Linked DNA regions of Danio rerio. The protein of the gene in region 2 purifies or fractionates together with the protein of the main gene of each other region. This does not show direct contact. Links are inferred from orthologs where the notes say so. Each region holds a gene or a part of one and is shown on either strand. Other genes may lie near its edges.

Region 1 (5,438 bases), on a different chromosome or scaffold from region 2:
TTTCCGGAAAATTACCGGCAATTTTCCGGAAAGGTTGTATGTGTGAACAGGTCCTTTTTGAAAATACCGGTAAATTCGTTCTGGCTATTTTCCGGAAAGAGAAGTTGTAACATTAACGGCAATTTGCCGGAATGCTGCGCTGTGTGAACGCAGAAGGAATATTTCCGGAATAAGCGCGTGCACGTCTAGAACGTGCTGACGTAAGACTTCTGCTTTAGCCAATCACAACAGTCAGACGCATTTACGTCCGCGCGGTTTGTGAGAATAAAAGCCTTTGAATATTTTTCCAGACGCATTTAGCTGCTAGAAGTTAGTCAGATCACGTTTATATGTTCTCCTTAATGCCAACTGTGCAAATAATCATCGATAAGATGCTTATGATAAGCCGTTGTTTGTTTACCTTCAAGCTTTGCGTGTGCCCATGAAACAGCCTGTGAGCGCCAGCACACGCACATATTATGAACATCTCGACATGCGAATATGATCCTGTGAAAGTTGTTTACAATATTGATCATCAAAAGAGTTTGTAATTTAGTCAAATGTTTACAAATACAAGCGCAGCCGTTTAAAGCTCATTTGTGGTGAATGATGTCAGAATTTACCGGTATTTTGGAATGGATGTGTGAATGCTCTTTTCCGGAAAATTTCCGTAACGTCCTCGCCTGTGTGAACAGCGCTTTTTTGAACATACCGGTAAAGTCGTTCCGTAAATTTTCCGGATATTTTCCGGTATCACTGTGTGAAAGGGGCTAATGTCAACGTTCAGTTTAGGGGTGAACTATCCTTTAAGTATTTTAAAAGTGTAAAAAAAAAAAAACTTACATTTTAGTTTAATTTTTTTTTTTTTTTTTTAAGTTTTTCAGATTATAGATCTATCAACAAAAACTGGCTTTTTGAACTAAAAATAATTATTTAACATACTAAAAAACAAAACCCTGTTTTGACCTCCAGGAACCCTGTGACAGCAGCACATTTTAGCTCTTATGTTTTATATTTTGTTACAGACATAGTGTCATCCTGCAACTGTTTTGCAGCATCTGAAATGACCCAAACACTATTTTAACTGTCCGAAATGGCCCCGATATTGTTTTGTTTACTGATAGTCAATACATGTTCAAAAAAATGTGTTTTATGTGTTATTAATGCATTAAAATATGCATTTTATGTAAATTCGGACCAGATGATACTTGGGTTTTATTCTAATTAGGTTCCAATAAGCCTAAATAGCAAAAAGAAATTTAAAAATCCATGTAGAAAAAAAACATCTTGGGCCTAGGATAACACAAGAGGCATAGAGGTGCTAAAAAAGCCCAATCAATCAAAAACTTACAAACAATATGCTTAGCTCAGAGTAGGCATGTCTGCAAAGTACGGCTGTGCAATTTGGGAAAAGATCTAATTGCGATATATATATATTTTTTTACATTTTGCAATTTTGATTTGATTTGTGATTAAATTTCTTAGTTAAGCTTCAGCTCAATCACACTCCTCATAAAGCCACCTGTGGTGCTTTTTCAGGTGCTGGTTGTTGTATTTCCCCATGCTGGTAACAATTCTGTGTCAGACAAATTACCTGTTTTTGATCGGTGTCTGGGACTTTAAAAGAAAAATATTCTCATATTACTGATGTTCTGTTTCTCTTTGATATTAATTTGTCTATTAATGCTTTTCAAGCAACCGACACCATCTCACTCGTCTGTGCTTTCCAGTTTGTTTGTTTTTTAATGTGGGCATTCCGCATAGATCTGTTGCACTTCTGATTGGCCGAACGAAAGTGTGCTCATTCAATTGGCTTAGTAAGACTGTCACAATTAAATAATATATAAATCGCAGCCTCTTGCAATTAGATGAACGTAGGGTTTCAAAACGATTGTGATTCGATTTCGATTAATTGCACAGCACTTTAAAGGTTGATCGATCATTGTTAAAAAAAATCTAATTGTAAAAAATTCTGAAGAAAGTTGAAAAATTGTAAACATTGACTTCCATAGCATTTGTTTTCCCAACCGCAAAAGTCAAATGATACAGGTTTTCAGCTCTTCAAAACACCTTCTTTAGTATTTTAATAAAATAAAGAACATAAATGTTAAAACCACATGGGGATAGTTACATCACATACGTTTATTTTTTTTTGTCAACTTCCCTTTAAGTGAAATAAAAATCAACTGAGACACAATTACATTACATTAGCTAACTATAGCTTCCAAAATGGATGACAATATCCAAGTCCAGCACTTACACTGCATCAGTGTGCGTCTTTGTCAGGTAATACCGGTAACTACACTTTGGATGGCAAAAGTTATGTCAGACAAGTTATGTCACAGCAGGTTAACTTCCTCGAGTTACAGTCCGGTAACCGATCTTTGCAACTCAACATGCTAATAATTCAAGTCAAGCGTCCGTCTGTCAGTACGTCCACAGAAACCTCAGACAGAAAGTTCCAGAAGATAAAAACTGATCATCACAAAGCATATCCTAAATGCGTTCAGGGTCGAATTAATGTCTCAACTTCCAAAAGTGGCAGTGAAGAATAAATATAATTGAAACGTCACATGCATTAAAGAGACAGTACACCACTAATGTTAACTACAATTTATCAAAGGAGATGTCAGGTAGAATGTTCGAGACTGACAGCTTCCTTTTACTTTCGTTTTTTTTTTTTTTAAACAAAACAAATCTGAACGATGTATTAGTTGTCATAACGTCCCCTAAATTGCCGTGCGGTGTCATTTAAACACGTGTGGAGATGTTCATACTTTTTGGTGAGCTGTCTCTTTAAGAGATATTATTCTTAAATAAACAAATAAATAAATGAAAAGACGACTACAGTTGTATGCTTTTTCCAACATGAACAAAATGTAGAATCTAGCCGAAACTTATTGTCCTTTGATGATACAAGGAGACTGCATGGACAGAACGTCATTTCCTCTATAGACTGACATTACATGCATGTGCATTGTTGTCACCTCAAATTAGCAACTAGCACAATTTCAAGCAATTTAACACAACAATGCGTCATCGCCGGACAACCAGATGTTTGAGCTGTCATGTGTGCCGGCTAAAGTGGGTCTGCATTGTGTTCTTAAGAGCAGTGATGATGTCACGTTGCATTCAACCTAATTCTTACCCTTAAAACTGTGTCACGGCGCACAGCACATCTGTCGTGTTCATATACGACGCATGGCACACTTTAGCATCGACTATAAAGGTCAAAGCCCATTTAAGCATGTGCTCAAAAACAAGTACAGGTTAATCGCAAGGCACCCCAATGTTAAAGCAGGCGCCTGGCACACTAGGCCATCGACACCCCTTGATTTTCAAGTTATGCGGCAATCTCGATCTCAGAGTCCTTCGTACACCCATGTGCCCGATCGGGGCTTTGCCAAAACACAGCTAGCTCAAGGCCAGACTAGCCGGCTTCGTATTAAAGTGATTCGGCTTTTCGGGTACCTCTCTAACTCCTCGTCGCTGGTTAAGTCCATCTCTGGATCCACGGACGAGTCGTAGTCAACAGTCGCCATTTTGCTGTAGAGAGGCGGAGGATGAAGCGAGGCATGTGAGGCTTTCATACCGCCTTCCGCTCCGCCTTCCGCCACCGTGCGCAATATGCCCATAGTAGGTCAACGGATACGAGATCCTGCCAAAAGATAGTGTTCAGAAAATATGTTCAAATATATATTTTTTAAAAAAGTTAACTGATGTACACACTACGGCGTCCGTCTTACGATGTTTTCAAACAATTTCTTTCCTAATAAATCCTTATTTTGCTCAGTGGGGAGCAGCTTTGCCTTGTAGCAGTAGGTGGCGACAAATTACCGTGTTTTTCAGTTAGGTGTGTCATAAAATTGAAACGCAGGAAACAAAGTTTAAATACAAACAATAAATCAACCATTGGAAATAACAGACAGACAGAAACTGTGGTCATTTCTTTGCTATGTCTGCTGAGCATTTTGTTAAAAAAAATTGCGGATTTATGCAGAATGATTTTAAAAGTATCATAACTAAAAACTTAATGTATAATAAAAAAAATTATAAATTTTTTACTTAAATTAACCTTAAATTTTTAAATAATTGTTTACTGTTTGCAACAAAAATCCACTTATTTGGTAAACAAAGCAAGTCTCTTGTATAATATCTACTAAAAGACAGAAAATATTATTTTACAAACTGTATTGTAAATAAATCATATGAACATTTCAATATTACTATTGTTATAATGATATTATTTAATTCATTTTCTTGTTGGCTTAGTCCCTTTATTAATCCGGGGTCGCCACAGCGGAATGAACTGCCAACTTGTCCAGCAAGTTTTTATGCAGCAATTGCCCCTCCAGCCACATCTCTGGGAAACATCCACACACACATTCACACACACACTCATACACTACGGACAATTTAGCCTACCCAATTAACCTGTACCTCATGTCTTTGGACTGTGGAGGAAACCGGAGCACCCGGAGGAAACCCACGCAAATGCAGGGAGAACTTGCTATCTCCACACAGAACCAGAACCAGCGACCCAGCAACCTTCTTGCTGTGAGGCGACAGCACTACCTACTTCGCCATATAATGATATTAGTGAAATTAATTTAAAAACTGAATAAATATAAATTTAATCCATGTGGGCCTAAATATGGGATATTTAAGCCAAAAATCTAATTTTACTCTTTACTCACTGCTTTCAAACTGTTATGAGTTTCTTCCATTGAACACAAGAAGATACCTTGAAGAAAACTGAAAATCATTTAATTGAGGCTCTGACAGTCAATGCAGGTAGCTTTGCAGTAGGCTTCAACAAATTACAGTATTTTTGAAACACACGTACGAAAAGGTAAATCGATAGTTCAGCCAAAAATGAAATATTACTTACTATTTACTCAACCTCAAGTGGTTCCAAACCCTTATGAGTTTCTTCTGTTGAATAAAAAATCTGCGGATTTATGCAGAATGGTTTTAGCAGCATCATAACTAAAAACTTAATATGTGATATAAAAATAATACATTATTAACTTTTTTTTACTGTTTACAATGCAAATCCATCTAGATGCACTTATTTGGTAAACAAAGCAAGTCTCCTGTATAATATATCTACTAAAAGACAGAAAATATTATTTTACAAACTGTATTGTAAATAAATCATATGAACATTTTAATATTACTATTTTTATATCATGATGATGTTAGTGAAATTCATTTAAAAACTGAAAAAATATAAATTTAAACACATATACACTAGTAAATAGATAGACTCAATGATAGACTTCAAATCTGTGCATAGCAGAGCAATGGCAGCATTGCAGTAGGCGGAAACAAATTATCATATTTTTGAATTTAGTATATCATAACAAATAGAAACACAGGCAGGACAAAAAGTTTAAAACAACCAAGCAAAATAAACAGTAAGAAATACACATAAGAAAAGTTAAATCAATAGTTCA
Region 2 (4,842 bases):
CCAAATAGGAAACAAAATAGGATTTGGGTCACATTTAGCTGTGAATGTAGCCACAGTTCTTCAGTGTTTGTTTGATAGCTTGCTGACTTTAAACACTGCTCCAATGCAAATGTCCTAGAACGCCCCTGTCCACTTTGATCAGTCTCACCACCAAAATAGCACGCACCACTTTTTTTTTTTAACAATCACAGACACACACTTTCAGTCTATGCTCTATTCCCTGGTGGCTTGCATAGGCACTTTTTGCCCGATAGCAAGAAAAACCAATGAAGAAAAAAAAAAAGAAACGTTGTGATCTAGTTTCTATTTTTTGACCTCCATATCCATACTGAAATGAAACGTCCCCAAAGACAATACATCATTGCAATTTTTGATTCCCCATCCACTTTGAAATTTGACAAAACTGCAGGAATGGTTCAAATGTTTCTCTCGCATGCTTTTTCACAGTTGTCTTCTTTAAAAGACAAGTGTGTAAATTCATGTTGAAAACAATTCTTTCTTTCCTGGCTTGAACACCCTAAAATAAAAGCCATTGTGACAGAAAATACACACTTCACTTTTAAACTGACATTGCAAAGCAGTGTTTATTTCAATGCAATGTCCTTAAATTAAACTGGGGGTTATATGTAGAAGTTGCTTGAAAACCAAAAATAATGTTCCAACATGTGGGGTCAGTCGTTGTTTATATGCAGGGTTTATATATGAAGAGCTCGGGTTCTAACTGCAGCTATGAACACTAAGCTTGTCTGACCTTTTAAAGTGATGGTTCACCCAAAACTGAAAACTGTTCTTTTTCTTGTTGTAAATATTGTTGCAAGTGTTTTCTTTTTTAACAGTTGATTGCAAAAGAAATCATTTTGAAAAAAAATATATAATAATCTGGATATTCTCTTACCATTGACTATAAGTTCTATTATTTGTTTTTTCCACTATGGAATTTGATGGTTTTAGGTTTTCAGCTGTCAAAATATTGTCTTTAGTGTTCAAAAACCAGAGGAAACTTTTGTTTGGGTGTGTTTGGAATGGTGAGTAAATCTTAATTTTTGGGTGAACTATCACTGTAATTATCTGGAAATGGCCTCATTATGAGTATGTTGTGGTCAAATCAGGGAATGATGTGTTACCAAATGGGTTATAGTTGACAAGACTGAAGCGCTGACGTGTTCACACTGCGAAAAAGACAACATGTGCTCCACACAGGCATGTGGTAAAGCAGAAAGCAGATTTTGGCAGCAGAACAGGGTTTAGCACCACACCACACCAACCAACAGCTCAGATTCAACCAAAAAGATCATGGATTATTGTCAGGAAAACAAAAGCTTCATATGCAGTAGTAACTGCAACTCCTGCCAGAAGATGGCTGTTTTCAGGGACCAGTAAAGGGCCAACAAAAGCAGCAGGTACAGTGCATCATGGGTAACAGTGTCGCTACCCATGGCGATACACAGTCTTTTATATACAAATTAAAAATTTCACCCATGGCCTGTATGGTTGCCAAGGCCGTGCTAGTCCTAATATGTTGCACATTTGCTGATCTTTAATCAGGGCAATCCAGTGTCTTATCCACTCAGTACTCCCACTCATCCGTCTTCATATCCAGATAACTAAGAATATTCTGGGCATGTTTAACAGCTTGCTTACGGGCAGTTTTGGTCCCCTGGTCACCCTGAGGGTCCACAGCGTCAAGAGCCAGAAGTTGTTTGGTCAGTAGCTCCTCCAACACCATGTAGCTCTTGTCGGCCCTTTTGCCATCGAAGCCCAACACCTGGGCCTGCAGATCACACAAACTGCCCAGCACTCGCCACACGGCTGCATGAGGTGGAGGTTCATCTGGCCCTGGATTACGTCGTCCTAGTGCTTCCCAGAGGTCTAGGAAGGTGATGAGCGCCTGCACCTCTAGCACAGCCCTGCGTCGCGCCTCCCGGATGCAGGGATTTCGGCCTGTATTTACCTGGTCCAGATGGTTAAGGAGACCCTGCAGCTCTATTCCCTGTCCAGAAGCTCCATGCCGAAGCACCTCTTCTCGCAGCACTGACACACGACCCCTGATAGCCTCAATTTCACGAATAGAGTCATTCTGTGCTAGATCATACCTGAAAGAAAAAAAATTGTAAGTATATTATTGGAAAAAAGATGCTTTTTAATTCATCCAAGTAAATAAATTTTATTCAAATATATACATGCACCACAATTACTCCATAACTACTCAAAAGTTTGAAATAACTTCCTTTTGTTATTTGATTAGGCTTTTTATCATAAAATGAAACTGTATAAATGCTACTGTATGTTAAGAATTGCATTATAAACATATTCTTTATTCTTATTGTAATACTAAGAAGGTTTACATAGCACATAATAAATAGCTGATGTAATCCAGGTCCCCGTATGAATAAAATAAATATAACAAGAATTGTTAGTGCTCAGTGCTCACCTATTTAAGGTGGTCAAGAGTGCTTAACGTGCTGCAATTTAAGAAAACACATGCAAAAACAAAAAACATTAGCAATTAAGAAAAGACACAAGCTGCAAATCCTCAAAGCAAAGACAGTAAAAAACACGCTGCCGTTTTTCACAACACAAACAATTAATGAAATCGAGCTGCCTTTTCTCACAACACTTCCAAAAAGAACGAAACACAATGAAAATGTTTCAAGGGTACCGAAAAACGTGACAAACATAACTGTATACTCAGTGAAGTTGTAAGTGATCTTTGAAAGGGGAGTTTTTTGTTTGTTTATATTAACATCTTGATTCCCTTGTTTTTTGCATTTTATTAGCCTAAATAACCAGAACCTAAATAGCCAGGTCCCCTTAAAACATTTTCACTGTGTTCCGACCTATTTGAAAGTGTTAAAAAGAAAATGCAGCACATTTTATTCATTTATTTGCATTGTGGGAAAATGCAGCCCTATTTTTATGTGTTTGCGTTGTGAGGATTTGCAGCACGTTTGCTGTCAAACAGATGAAGATCTTTTCTAAATTTGCTGGCATGTTTGTGTATTTGCATGAGTTTTCTTAAATTGCAGCACATTAAGCTTTCTCTGCCACCATACTTTTTTTTCTAAAAATTAGGAACAAATAAAAATAAAACAAAAAAAAGTGTTTTAAAACAAAATTTGCAAATCCATGTACAAATCACATAAGGCTTCTATTTCATATTAATGACATTATGCTTACTTCGTTACAAAATTTTAGACTTCAGTGTCACAGACTTTTTTATAATATAAAAATCTGAATTATTAAACCTACTTTAAAATTATTTTCTTTTGTAAATATTTCCCAAATGATGTTTAACAGAGCAAGGAAATTTTCACAGTACCATATGTCTGATAGTATATTTTCTTCTGGAGAAAGTCTTATTTGTTTTATTTCAGTGGGAATAATACTAATTACCCTGACCTGCCTAGTTAACCTAATTAACCTAGTTAAGCCTTTAAATGTCACTTTAAGCTGTATAGAAGTATCCTGTAAAATATCCAGTAAAATATTATTTATTGTCATCATGGCAAAGATAAAATAAACCAGTCATTAGAGATGATTTATTAAAACTATTATGCTTAGAAATGTGTTAAAAAAATCGTATTCCCGTTGAACAAAAATTGGAGAAAAAAATAAACTGGGGGGCTAATAATTCAGGGGGTTTAATAATTCTGATTTTTGATTGCGTATGTGCGTGTGTGCGTGGTTCAATGCAGTCCCATAGCTTTAGAAATGGATTTTTAACCTTTTCCAGACTGGTAGATCTCAATAAAAATCTTTTGGATCTTGGCATGATGTCTAGCTTTTGAGGATCTTTTAGACTACTTTACTTTGTCTTCACTTTTTAGGTCCTATTTAAGCTATTTTTTAAATTGTAAACAGGTGTGGCAGTAACAAGTTCTGGGCGTGGCAAGAGAAATTGAACTTTTGTTGTGATAAATTAGCATTAAGTTATCTTTAAATCTTATCTCCCTTAATGATAAAAATCTTTATTAAAAAAATGTGTGATGTGTTTAATTGTGCTATCTTTGACTAACATTTAAAGGACACCTATGGTGAAAAATCTACTTTTCAAGCTGTTTGGACAGACATGTGTGTAGGTATAGTGTATTGACCATCATATTGGGATGATATAAACACACACAGTCCTTTTTTTTCAATTTAACAACATAAAAAAGGTTGAACCAATTGGAGTGGTTTTCAGAGCAACCGCAACTTGACGTAGGAGTGCAGTCCCCCAGCCCAGTTTGTTGTTTCACGTCTGCCATTTTCAGCGTGTGAGTCAAAGCGATGTCACTAAAGGAACACCCTTGCTCTATTTTTATATGTAAGGCTCATTAGGCTCAACACAAGATGAACATACACCACTTGATCGCTCTAATCAGAATTATTGTTTGTAACTTTAGGTAGGTTTGCAAATATGAGTACTTTTCATTGTGTCTACCTTAAACTGGAAAGTGCGAGCACGTTGCCTCAGGTGCACGTCTCTTCATTGGAAATAAAATAACAAACTTGCCTGCAGGAAGCACACCATAAGCGCCGCTCTGCGTGGCCCGACACTGAGCATGCATTTTAGAATTCTAAACATAGGTTTCTATCAGGGTACACACAACGGCGCTTCAAGTCGACGGCTGGCCGATTGGGCACAATTCATGCTTCTGCCGCGTCACAGAGCGTCATCTAAACAATTAAATTTAAATAACATCTGAATGTGTGTGTCTGGTGTGCCGTGTCGCGGCTCCGAGCGGCGCATCTGGTGCCTCAATCAAAGTTAATTCAGTGTGCTTGGTTATTAGTCTCAGTGTACAAGCTCGGCACTTTAAACTAGCACACAGTTGGCTGTAAAACAATACAAAGTTACAA
Region 3 (5,576 bases), on a different chromosome or scaffold from region 2:
ACCCTTGAATTAGACATTGAGTTGAATTTTATGCTGTCATTTCTTTAGTAAATTGATCAGGGAAATCCATGCCTGATGTAAGTTACTATTTGAAGATAAAAGCTTTTAGATATGATTTGTTTAATAATATTTTTCATCTATTTAATTTTGAATCAAACTGATCTTGATTAAGTTTACTCCTAACAATTTCCCTAAATGACAAGAATGAGAAAAGGCATCAAAGTGACAGCATGACAATTTGACAGTAACCTTCTATTATGACAGCAACGCAAGCAAATATCCAGCAACCTTTCTAGCTCATTATACTGCAGTTGCTGCTTGCAAAAATATATCCACCTTTTCCCCTTTTAACACCAAGCTTAAAAGCATATTTCATTTGTTAGATGGGTTTGGTGCTCTATGTACAGAATTGACATTTACAGAACAGTGTGTTAATGATTCGGTCGTGCGAGTACATCTTGATGGTCTCTAACAGTTTAAGTGGGCGAGCGCCTTTTCTGGCAACTCAACACAGCTCGTATTACTTGCTGTCCAAACTGCATTATGTAAGAGTGAAGATTTCAAACAAAGATTTGAACATTTTTAGCTGGCAACAATTTTTAAAACTGTAACTTTTGCACAGATCTATCGAAAGTCATAGACACATTAAAAGTGTAAGTAATTTTAAATGAAACTGTAATTTTAAAAGTTACAGTTAATATTTAATTTAAAAAATAAAATACAGTTAGAATAAAGTGATTTAAGTTAAACTTTATACCATATATGACAGAAACTTTTACTTCTGCATTTAATGCGAGATACTATACATGTACATTTGACAGACTTATTAGCCCTCCTTTGATTTTTTTTTTTCTTTTTTAAGTATTTCCCAAATGATGTTAAACAGAGCAAGGAAATTTTCACAATAATTCTGATGATATTTTTTCTTCTGGAGAAAGTCTTATTTGTTTTATTTTGGCAAGGACAAAAGCTGTTTCTTTTTAAAAAAAACAAAACACAAAAAAAAAAAACACATTTTAAGGTCAAAATTATTAGGCCCTTTTAGCTATAATTTTTTTCAATAGTCTACAGAACAAACCATCGTAATACAATAACTTGCCTAATTACCTTAACCTGCCTAGTTAACTTTATTAACCTAGTTAAGCCTTTTAATGTCACTTTTAGCTGTATAGAAGTGTCTTGAAAAATATCTAGTCGAATATTATTTACTGTCATCATGGCAAAGATAAAATAAATCCAATATTATAAATTAGTTATTAAAACTGTTATGTTTAGAAATGTGTTGAAAAAAATCTTCTCTTTGTTAAACAGAAATTGTGGGAAAAAAATTAAAATGGGGGCTAATAATCGAGGGGGTAATAATTCTGACTTCAACTGTATACAATATATATACACAGTAAAAAAAATCTGTGATTTTACGGCAGCTGGAAAAAAAAAGTAAAATAACGGCTGTTAAATTAAAGAAATTTCCTTAAATGTAAATTTTTGGTAAATTTCTGTAATTCAACCTGTTGTTTTACAGTAAATCTCTGTAATTTTACAGTCGTTACTTTAAATAAGTAAATGAAATAGTCTTTTCAAATAAATAAACCATAAAATTATTTTTTTTTTTACAGATGGCAGCATACTATATATTATTGTACGAAACAATATATATTTGGAAGTGAAATCAATCATCATATACTTTAATAATATATATATATATATATATATATATATATATATATATATATATATATATATATATATATATATAATATTTATTAAAGTTATATTTAACAAGCAACCTTTTAGTTCAGATGGATGAATGCAGTAATGGACTTTAAGAGACATAAAATATTAAATAAATTAACTGTAATAAAACTTATAACATATTCTGAACATTACAATCAACATAAAATACTGAAACTGATGTGCATTTTGAAATTAAAATATTGATAATATTTGATATTGATGACCTGATAATTCTACTCAGCACCACCATTGATAGATAGATAGATAGATAGATAGATAGATAGATAGATAGATAGATAGATAGATAGATAGATAGATAGATAGATAGATAGATGGATGGATGGATGGATGGATGGATGGATGGATGGATGGATGGATGGATGGATGGATGGATGGATGGATGCATGGAAGGATGGTTGGTTGGATGGATGGATGGATGGATGCATGGAAGGATGGTTGGTTGGATGGATGGATGGATGGATGGATGGATGAATGGATGGTTCTCACCTGGCGCAGACTGACCCGGACTGGATACACAATATCAGACCCCTCTCGTCGAAAGTGGCCGTGAGGCTTATCTTTAATGACAAACACAATATCGGCAGGGATAGTATTAGGCGTTTCGTCACCCTCCCGTGGAAATGTGATTTTGGTTCCCTCTTTCCAGCCACGCTTTATCTCAATAGTGAGGATTTTGTCCTCGGTTCTCAAGGTTCGACCATCCGGATTTAAGCGCTTCCGTGAGATTTTCATGCGTTTGGTGCTTCCGTGAAAAACCTCCTCAAGTGACACCCGGAGCTCGTGGTGGATAGCCGGGTCTTGCTTCCTGCGTGGCGGGCCACCTTGACCTACGTGCCGTTCGCGTGGAAATCCATTTATGTTAAAACTCGTAAAGGAACCAAAAGGATCGTTTCCGTCCACTTCCATGTCGTCCTCATCTCGTCCGTTGACTTTCCTGCCAAAAAATACCTCAAAAGGACTGGCTCCTCCGAAAAACGTGGCGAATGTCGCGTGAGGGTCTCCATGGAAGGTGTAGGTGAAGTTGCCACCTGGGCCGTCGGACGCTCCTCCACCTCCTTTAAGACCTAATAATATAGAAAAAACTCATTTTATTTTCGAAAAAATAGACTGAGGAAGATTTAGGCCACAAACACATGCTGTCATTGCTATGCAACCCAGCGCAGTTATCTAGTAAACACACCACATATAATACCATGTCTATTTATAATTAGAATAAGACAGCAGCGACATATCCATTTTGACATTTAGGCTTGCAGGGAGCATTGTTTCTACATGAAAAGATTTAGCCTTTTGGTTGAGCAATGATGAGGACTAAAATAAAAACATAACCATATGGTCAGCTTATAACGCAATGTATATATTTTTGTATAGCCTAAAGCCTACATTATCTGACATATTTTACAGTATGAGTTGGGTAGATATAGAGAATATGTTCTTTGTTACCATGGGTATTACTGATATGAAGGAAGAACATACCTTCTTCTCCATACTGGTCGTATATTTCTCGTTTCTTTGGATCGCTGAGAACTTCATAAGCCTCTGCGACCTCCTTGAATTTCTCTTCAGCGTTGGCTGCCTTGTTCTTGTCAGGATGCCATTTCAAAGCCTGCTTTCTGTACGCCTTCTTGATATCGTCGTCTGATGCTCCTTTCGTGATTCCCAGTATTTTGTAATAATCTTTGCCCATTTTCCACTATGCAGACCGCGCTGCTGCCGCTGCCCGAGGATTCGACTGTCGGTTGATAAAGAAGACGGCGAATAAGAGCGCTACACTGTCAAATCCTGCCTCTTTAAACCGTGATACAGATGATCAGTTGATCTCTTTGTGTCTGTTTGGAGGCGGTTACTCAGCACTAAAGATCTTGTGTTATTTTACCCTCTTTAAATAGCCATTCCTCCCTCCCCTGTACCATTGCAGCTCCGGATTCAGAGCGCTTTCTAGAACGTAATAGCTGAGGCACGTCATTTCCCATTTTCAAATACAGTCTCAACCAGGAGCGCAACGTTCTCTATCTATCTATCTATCTATCTATCTATCTATCTATCTATCTATCTATCTATCTATCTATCTATCTATCTATCTATCTATCTATCTATCTATCTATCTATCTATCTATCTATCTATCTATCTATCTATCTATCTTACACTTGAAAACTGTGTACAATCTTTATTTAAAAAGTTACTTGAACAATTAGAATTTAAAAAATATTCTTTTATTTATTTATTTATTTATTTATCTTATATTTTTTTAGTCAATAATGTGACAATCTAAAAATTAATAAATAACAATCTAGAAAAAAAATAAATATAAATAATAATGAGATGGCGAGTAGTGTTGGTAGGTAGTGCTGTCACCTCACAGCAAGAAGGTCAGCTGGCGTTTCTGTGTGGAGTTTGCATGTTCTCCCTGCGTTCGCGTGGGCTTCCTCCGAGTGCACAGTCCAAAGACATGTGGTATACAGGTGACTTATTGGGTAAGCTAAATTGTCTGTAGTTTATGAGTGAGATTGAGTGTTTAAATGGTTGATTCCCAGAGATGGGTTGCGTTACTTGCGTACAACATGTGCTGGATAAGTTGGTGGTTCATTCGGTGGTGGCGACCTTGGATTAATAAAAGGACGAAGCCGAAAGGAAAAAGAATGAATTAATAAGGATCAGAAATAATAATTTTTTCAAATTTAGTTTTGTATAAATCTCAAAATCAACCCTTCTGGATCACAGTCCCGATCAAAACTACTAAATTGCCTAGAAAATTACAGCATTTGAACCATTTAATTTCCAAATTCATAAATAATGTCACTGATTTGCTGAAAAAAAAACACACAAAATTACATATTTTCAATATAAAAAGTCACTGTGGGTTGTATTTTTTTAACCTTTTATCAAAGTCTTAGACATGTGACACAACATTGCCTTTGATCCAAATTTACATTGTTTTTGATTAATTTGAATTTATTTTCTCATTAATTTACTATTGTTGTCACATTTTTTGGATTACAAAACCACGACACCATATAATCATACCTTTTTGATTGTTGGTGGTAAAATTGGTAATTTTTACTGTTGATCATCAGTTGACACCATTAACCCTTTAGATGTTTTTGCCTGTGCAAAAAAAAAGCTTAGTTTCTGGATTTTATATGGAGTATAACATCATATTACAGTGTGTGTATGTGTGTCTATGAGAGTGTGAGATGTGTCTGAGAAAATCTAATAATGCATCTTAGCTCTCAGAACTACATGAAGTAAACATAAACAAAGACTGTGTGCTTATGCTTCATCAAATGTGGTTATAATGGAAGTCAACGGGGCAACAACAGCCACCAACAGTAAATTAGGAAACTAAATTAGGGAAAAAAATGAAAATTCAACAATGCATCAAAGCCAACGTTGGTGTCCAAGACTGTGATAAAAGGTTAAAAAATTACTTTTTATATTAAAAAATACGTCATTTTGTGTGTTTTTTCACCAATAAGTGAAATCATTTAAAATGTGCCAATTAAAGAATTAAAATCTTGTCATTTTCTTAACATTTTTTTATCAGCAAAGAGTTTGATTAATAGATTTATGCAAAAAAAATTAAGAAATATTTATCAGATTCAATTTTTACAGCAGTTTAATTACAGCTGATGTTTTCATCCCTAACATAACAAAAGGGTAGTTTTTGAACAGTGCACAAGGGGTAAAATAAACTATATTCCTTAAATGTTACATGTAAACATTTACTTACACCTTAACTTGTTCTAATCCTGCTTGACTTTCTTTTTTCTTTTTAATGCAAAAGACAATATTTTGAAGAAAGCTGCAAACCTGTAACCAT
Region 4 (5,617 bases), on a different chromosome or scaffold from region 2:
TTTATTAAAGTGCTCTCGTCTTCAACTCTAGCGTACGCTCTCTGATCCTCCATCCTCCAGAGATCATGCACATTGTGTCCTGAATCACAAAGACAACATCTTGAGATCATCACATGATTGCAGCCATAAACCAGAGCACGCTGGCAGTGTGCACACACCTTAAACTCTTAGTGCATGAATACTGTGTCAATACGTCAGGTCAGGTGCTGTTAAAACTACTTAGTAGGCATTGACTTCCATAGTATAAATTTGGAACAAGCTAAGGGAGAGTAAATACAGACGACAGATTTAATTTCCTTGAGTGAACTGTCCATAAGCATAACTAAATGTCTGTTTTAATTGGCCACGTTTGAGTTATCTTGAGCTAAAGCACCACATGCTGAAACATGTCAACTCTGCTAGTGTTTTAGAAAGTTTAATAGGGTTAACTGAATCAAATGTCATATATTTATGTCATATTTAAGCATTATTTTACATTATTAATAGATTCTGTTTACTGTTATGTTAAATGTATGTTATACATTCACCGGCCACTTTATTAGGTACACCTGTCCAACTGCTTGTTAACACAAATTTCTAATCAGCCAATCACATTGCAGCAACTCAATGCATTTAGATGTGTAGACACGGTCAAGACGATCTGCTGCAGTTCAAATCAAGCATCAGAATGGGGAAGAATTTAAGTGACTTTAAACGTGAAATGGTTGTTGGTGCCAGATGGGCTGGTCTGAGTATTTCAGAAACTGCTGATGTACTGGGTTTTTCACACACAACCATCTCTAGGGTTTACAGAGAATGCTCCGACAAAGAGGAAATATCCAGTGAGCGGCAGTTCTGTGGGTGCAAATGCCTTGTTGATGCCGGAGGTCAGAGGAGAATGGCCAGACTGGTTCCAGCTGATAGAAAGGCAACAGTAACTCAAATAAGCACTCGTTACAACCGAGCTCTGCAGAAGAGCATCTCTGAACACACAACACGGCCAACCTTGAGGCGGATGGGCTACAGCAGCAGAAGAGCACACCGGGTGCCGCTCCTGTCAGCTAAGAACAGGAAACTGAGGCTACAATTCACACAGACTCACCAAAACTGCACAATAGAAGATTGGAGAAACGTTGCCTGCTCTGATGAGTCTCCATTTCTGCTGACACATCCGGATGCTCGGCTCAGAATTTGGCCTCAATGTCACCTCATCTATGCCACGAACGATTAAGGGGGTTCTGAGGGCAAAAGGGGGCCAACCCGGTACTAGTGAGGTGTACCTAATAAAGTGGCCAGTGAGTGAATATAATTTCCAGGGAAACAAAATGAATGGAAAATGCTTAAATACAGCGGACAATCTTGGTATTCTTCTTGCTGTTCATCTTTTGGTGTTTACTTCCAGCAAAATAACCATCAGCATGAAAATGTTTCCATCAGCATGTTAAATATTAGCCAGCAAAGCACTTCTGACAGCAATAAGCAAGCTAGTGGTGTACCTAATAAAGTGGCCGGTCGATGTATAAGTTATTAACTACTTATTTTTCTATTACTATATTTTATTATTTACGAACGACCCGATTCAGTAAGAAATCTGACCTTTTTACTTTAAACTTCAATCATTACACGTTAAAAATAAATAAATTAATCGCAAAATATCTAGTATGTTTATACAAAACTCCATCTAAATAAGGTCGCGAACTACATAATGTTTTAAAATCCCCTCATGTTTTATTTTTTATTCAGACTCTTATATTAGCACACATAAAACAAACATCAACAACTTCCTACATGATATGAGCGCGTACACATCTACTGTACACAGCGATGCTAACATGCTACAAAAAACGAACTAGCCTCATCACATATGAACATAAAATGACATAAAATGCGCAAATATTTGTGCTGTCTCTCAGTAAACTTACCAGCTAATCTCGTTTCAGAGTGTTTGTATTGATCCGTGTGTCTTTGCTTTCACTGTTGCGCTCAAACAGGAAGTTGTTGAATTGTTTTGCAGTCATATGATTCATAACGCAGCCTGGACTACACAGGCGCCAACATGACCGAGATTTCTTCCCTAAACCGCAGAGTATCACACCAGGAACTCAATATTAGTTAGTCAGGACGGCATAAATATGGCAGAGCCTCTGTGTGAAATCTGCGGGGATGTTAATGTGTCAACATGGAGGATCAGAAAGTGCCTTTAAGTTCAAGTTTGATGTCAGAAACTCGGAGATCATGGCAGAAATAGAGGAGTTGTCCATCAGACTGAAGAAGCTACTGGTGAGGTTGAATCTTCAGGATGGGAAGCAGCTGGGGACAATGGTGCAGATCATAGAGGATCTCCTGTTCCTGTCCCATACTGAGCACTGTGGTGAGTCCTGACCACTCCAAAATGTGCTTTATTTACATTTCATGATGCGTATAATGCATGGATACAGTCATATTGACAGCAATGCAACATTCAGAGACCTCAATTGGTGTGTGTGTGCCTTTTTTTCCCCAGCGAGACATCTGCTGGGTTATTTTTAGACTTGTGTTCTTCTTTTGTCCTGCAGTTGAGCTGTTTGCGGATCAAAATGTCCATGTGCCTGTGTTGCTGAAATGCAGCGAAAGCGCCAGCATCAAAGTTCAGCAGGTACTGTAGCCACTTCAAAACATGTGACTTTTATTTTGTTAAACAAAAAGAGATATTGAGAAGAATGTTCACACTGCTCTTATTCATATTGAAACTGGAAGGGAACTGAAAGGGAATGGCTTTATTAATAATTAAAAAAAAATATGAATTATAAGTCAGCAGCAGGGTTTTTGATTTTATTACATGCTCTTAGAATAGAAAAGATTCGGTTCGCAGTAAAACAAAAGCCAGTGTCACCGACTCGGTCCCAGTCATTCCCCTCGCTGGCCAGCAGAGGCCGCCATCCCCGGACTTCTAGCATTACATCATCCACCTAGACTAATTGTGCACACACCTGATCTGAATCCCGTTAACGATCCGCGCTCCCTATATAAGCCACACTCAAACACCAGTTCATTGCGAAGTCTTGTTCAGCCACGGTCAACACTTCTGAGCGTTATTCACTGCCTGATCTTCTGTGCATTACCCCGGACTGGTTCTGACTCTGAGTTGCCTTCTGCCTGCCCTCGACCCACGCTTGTTATACGGACTCTGAACCACGCCGCCTGCCACTGATCCATGCCTGGTAAATCACTCTGTGTCTGTCAGCCGCCAGCCCCACGATCTATGTTGAATGCTGTTGATGTGAGTTCGCACTTTAGTGCGTGTTGTATGTTTGTGATTGAACTGTGTCTTTTAAATACTGCAAAATGGATCCCTCCGTGTCAGTCTCCTCGTTATAGCCAGATATTAAATATTTTTAATAATTAATATTATTATTTAATGTGTTTTTAAAATATTTTTATTATAACTTTTTGCATTCATCCTTGTGTCTTCTGCACATTTTGTCTGTAAAGTGCCTTGAGATGCTACTTTTAAAGGTGCTATCTAAAATAAAGTTTATTATTATTATTAATAATATTTGAGGAGATCCAACTATCTTTTTTTTTTTTTTTTTTTTTTTTTTTTTTTTATTTAATTTTTTATTATCTTAACTCGGAACAATAATGGTGATTTCGTGTTAGTAATTGCGAGTGATTTATTATGCTGCTCATCCTAGGTTGGCTGGTCTCTGCTGTGTCGGCTGATGGAAATCTGTCCCAACACTCTGGATAATCTGGCCAGACCGGTGGACTATGAATTTATAGATGCACACAAGTAAGTTGGAGTGTAATATTTTTAAGCATGTGCATGCATTCCAGGGCAACACGGAGGCTCCGTGGTTAGCGCTGTCACCTCACAGCAAGAGGGTCACTGGTTCGAGTCCCGGCTGGTTAAGTTGGTGTTTCTGTGTGGAGTTTGCATGTTCTCCCTGTCTTGGTGTGGGTTTCCTCGAGGTGCTCCGGTTTCCCCCACAAGTCCAAACACATGCCCTACAGGAGAATTGGGTAAGCTAAATTGTATAGGTGTGTATGGATGTTTCCCAGTACTGGGTTGCAGCCAGAAGGGCATTCGCTGTGTAAAACATATGCTGTAATAGTTGGCGGTTCATTCCGCTGTGGCAATAGGGGGCCTAAGCCAAAGGTGAATGAATGAATGAATGAAATTGAGCAAAAACTACAGATTTATCAGAGAGATTTAATCCGGGCCAGTGTCATGAACAAATAACTGCATGAAAATAAGTTCTTTGTAATTGTTTACATCTCGTAATTTGTAAAATTGCAGCTGATTTTTAATTAAGCGACTCTTTTTGATGCATGTTTGTTTATAGGCAGATTCTGAAGGTGCTTCACGAGTACCATAATAAAGACGCCAAGATGATGATGGTGGCCCTGAGAGCTCTGGCTCTGATGCTGAAGTCAGGCAAGTCTTGTTTCTACATAACGCCTGCTATTTCGTTCATTAAAGAGCAGCGGTTTCTGAAAGTGTTTTGATGGAGGTGTTTGATGTTTGTGGCTCAGGTGAGATCAAGATGCAGGTTCTGGATGAGGAGGAATGGGATGTGTTTTACTCGATTCTGGAGGCCATGAAGTCATTCAGTGACAGAGAAGAAGTTCAGCTACAGGGATGTACAGCTTTACAACCACTGCTGCAGACAGGTGACCAGGATTAGTTATTCAAATTTGAAATGGTGATATACACTTACCAGACACTATATTAGTTACACTTTTCTAGTACTAGGTTGGACCCCTCATGAGCACGCCTCCTCATAAGGAGTTACAAACTAGACTAGAGCACCATCTCCTGTTAAAAATACTAGCCTAGAGCGTGATCTGCTGTTAAAAGTAGCCTAGTGCGTCGTCTGCTGTTAAAAAAAACTAGCCTTGAGCGTTGTCTGCTGTTAAAACTAGCCTAGAGCACCATCTCCTGTTAAAAATACTAGCCTAGAGCGTGATCTGCTGTTAAAAGTAGCCTAGTGCGTCGTCTGCTGTTAAAAAAAACTAGCCTAGAGCGCCGTCTGCTTTTAAAACTAGCCTTGAGCGTTGTCTGCTTTTAAAACTTGCCTAGAGCATTGTCTGCTGCTAAAACTAGCCTAGAGCGCCGTCTGCTGCTAAAACTAGCCTAGAGCGCCGTCTGCTGTTTAAAAACTAACCTTGAGTGTCATCCGCTGTTAAAAATATTAGCCTAGAGTGCCATTCACTGTTTAAACTAGCCTAGAACATTGTCTGCTGTTATAAACTAGCCTAGAGCGCCGTCTGCTGTTAGAAGTAGCCTAAAGCACCATCTGCTTTTAAAACTAGCCTAGAGCGTCGTTCGCTGTTAAAAATAGCCTAGAGCTCCATCTGCTGTTTAAAAACTAACCTAGAGCCCCGTTTGCTCTCAAGAAAATTTGCCTAGAGCGCTGTCTGCTGTTTAAAAACTAACCTTGAGCGTCATCCGCTGTTAAAAATATTAGCCTAGAGTGCCATTCACTGTTTAAACTAGCCTAGAACATCGTCTGCTGTTATAAACTAGCCTAGAGCACTGTCTGCAGTTAAAAATAGCCTAGAGCGCCATCTGCAGTTAAAACTAGCCTAGAGCGTCGTCTGCTGTTAAAGTAACCTAGAGCGCCATTAGCTATTAAAAAACTAGCCTAGAGCGTCA

The links. Proteins that work in one complex are often made in the same cells at the same time.
Region 1: the proteins of bag5 (region 2) and dnajc7 purify together in Homo sapiens (affinity purification with mass spectrometry; 4 studies listed by BioGRID and IntAct, with this or other methods). This does not show direct contact. The link is inferred for Danio rerio from reciprocal best matches to the Homo sapiens genes BAG5 and DNAJC7.
Region 3: the proteins of bag5 (region 2) and dnajb4 purify together in Homo sapiens (affinity purification with mass spectrometry; 4 studies listed by BioGRID and IntAct, with this or other methods). This does not show direct contact. The link is inferred for Danio rerio from reciprocal best matches to the Homo sapiens genes BAG5 and DNAJB4.
Region 4: the proteins of bag5 (region 2) and lrrk2 purify together in Homo sapiens (co-immunoprecipitation; 3 studies listed by BioGRID and IntAct, with this or other methods). This does not show direct contact. The link is inferred for Danio rerio from reciprocal best matches to the Homo sapiens genes BAG5 and LRRK2.

Annotation. Positions count from the first base shown.
Region 1 is NC_133178.1:16,658,857-16,664,294, reverse strand, and holds the start of dnajc7 (dnaJ homolog subfamily C member 7), read right to left. Parts: upstream 3,623-5,438; 5' UTR 3,615-3,622; coding exon 3,451-3,614; intron 1-3,450. UniProt on the Homo sapiens protein: Acts as a co-chaperone regulating the molecular chaperones HSP70 and HSP90 in folding of steroid receptors, such as the glucocorticoid receptor and the progesterone receptor.
Region 2 is NC_133188.1:17,741,589-17,746,430, forward strand, and holds part of bag5 (BAG family molecular chaperone regulator 5), read right to left. Parts: intron 2,463-4,842; coding exon of another isoform or gene 2,432-2,462; exon of another isoform or gene 2,415-2,431; intron 2,094-2,414; coding exon 1,568-2,093; 3' UTR 1-1,567. UniProt on the Homo sapiens protein: Co-chaperone for HSP/HSP70 proteins. It functions as a nucleotide-exchange factor promoting the release of ADP from HSP70, thereby activating HSP70-mediated protein refolding.
Region 3 is NC_133177.1:9,895,446-9,901,021, reverse strand, and holds the start of dnajb4 (dnaJ homolog subfamily B member 4), read right to left. Parts: upstream 3,623-5,576; 5' UTR 3,443-3,622; coding exon 3,232-3,442; intron 2,820-3,231; coding exon 2,242-2,819; intron 1-2,241. UniProt on the Homo sapiens protein: Probable chaperone. Stimulates ATP hydrolysis and the folding of unfolded proteins mediated by HSPA1A/B (in vitro).
Region 4 is NC_133200.1:38,243,583-38,249,199, reverse strand, and holds the start of lrrk2 (leucine-rich repeat serine/threonine-protein kinase 2), read left to right. Parts: upstream 1-1,995; 5' UTR 1,996-2,142; coding exon 2,143-2,350; intron 2,351-2,534; coding exon 2,535-2,614; exon of another isoform or gene 2,615-3,179; intron 3,180-3,202; coding exon of another isoform or gene 3,203-3,238; intron 3,239-3,653; coding exon 3,654-3,751; intron 3,752-4,304; coding exon 4,305-4,396; intron 4,397-4,494; coding exon 4,495-4,632; intron 4,633-5,617. Other genes in the region: slc2a13b (solute carrier family 2 member 13b), read right to left, coding at 1-53. UniProt on the Homo sapiens protein: Serine/threonine-protein kinase which phosphorylates a broad range of proteins involved in multiple processes such as neuronal plasticity, innate immunity, autophagy, and vesicle trafficking.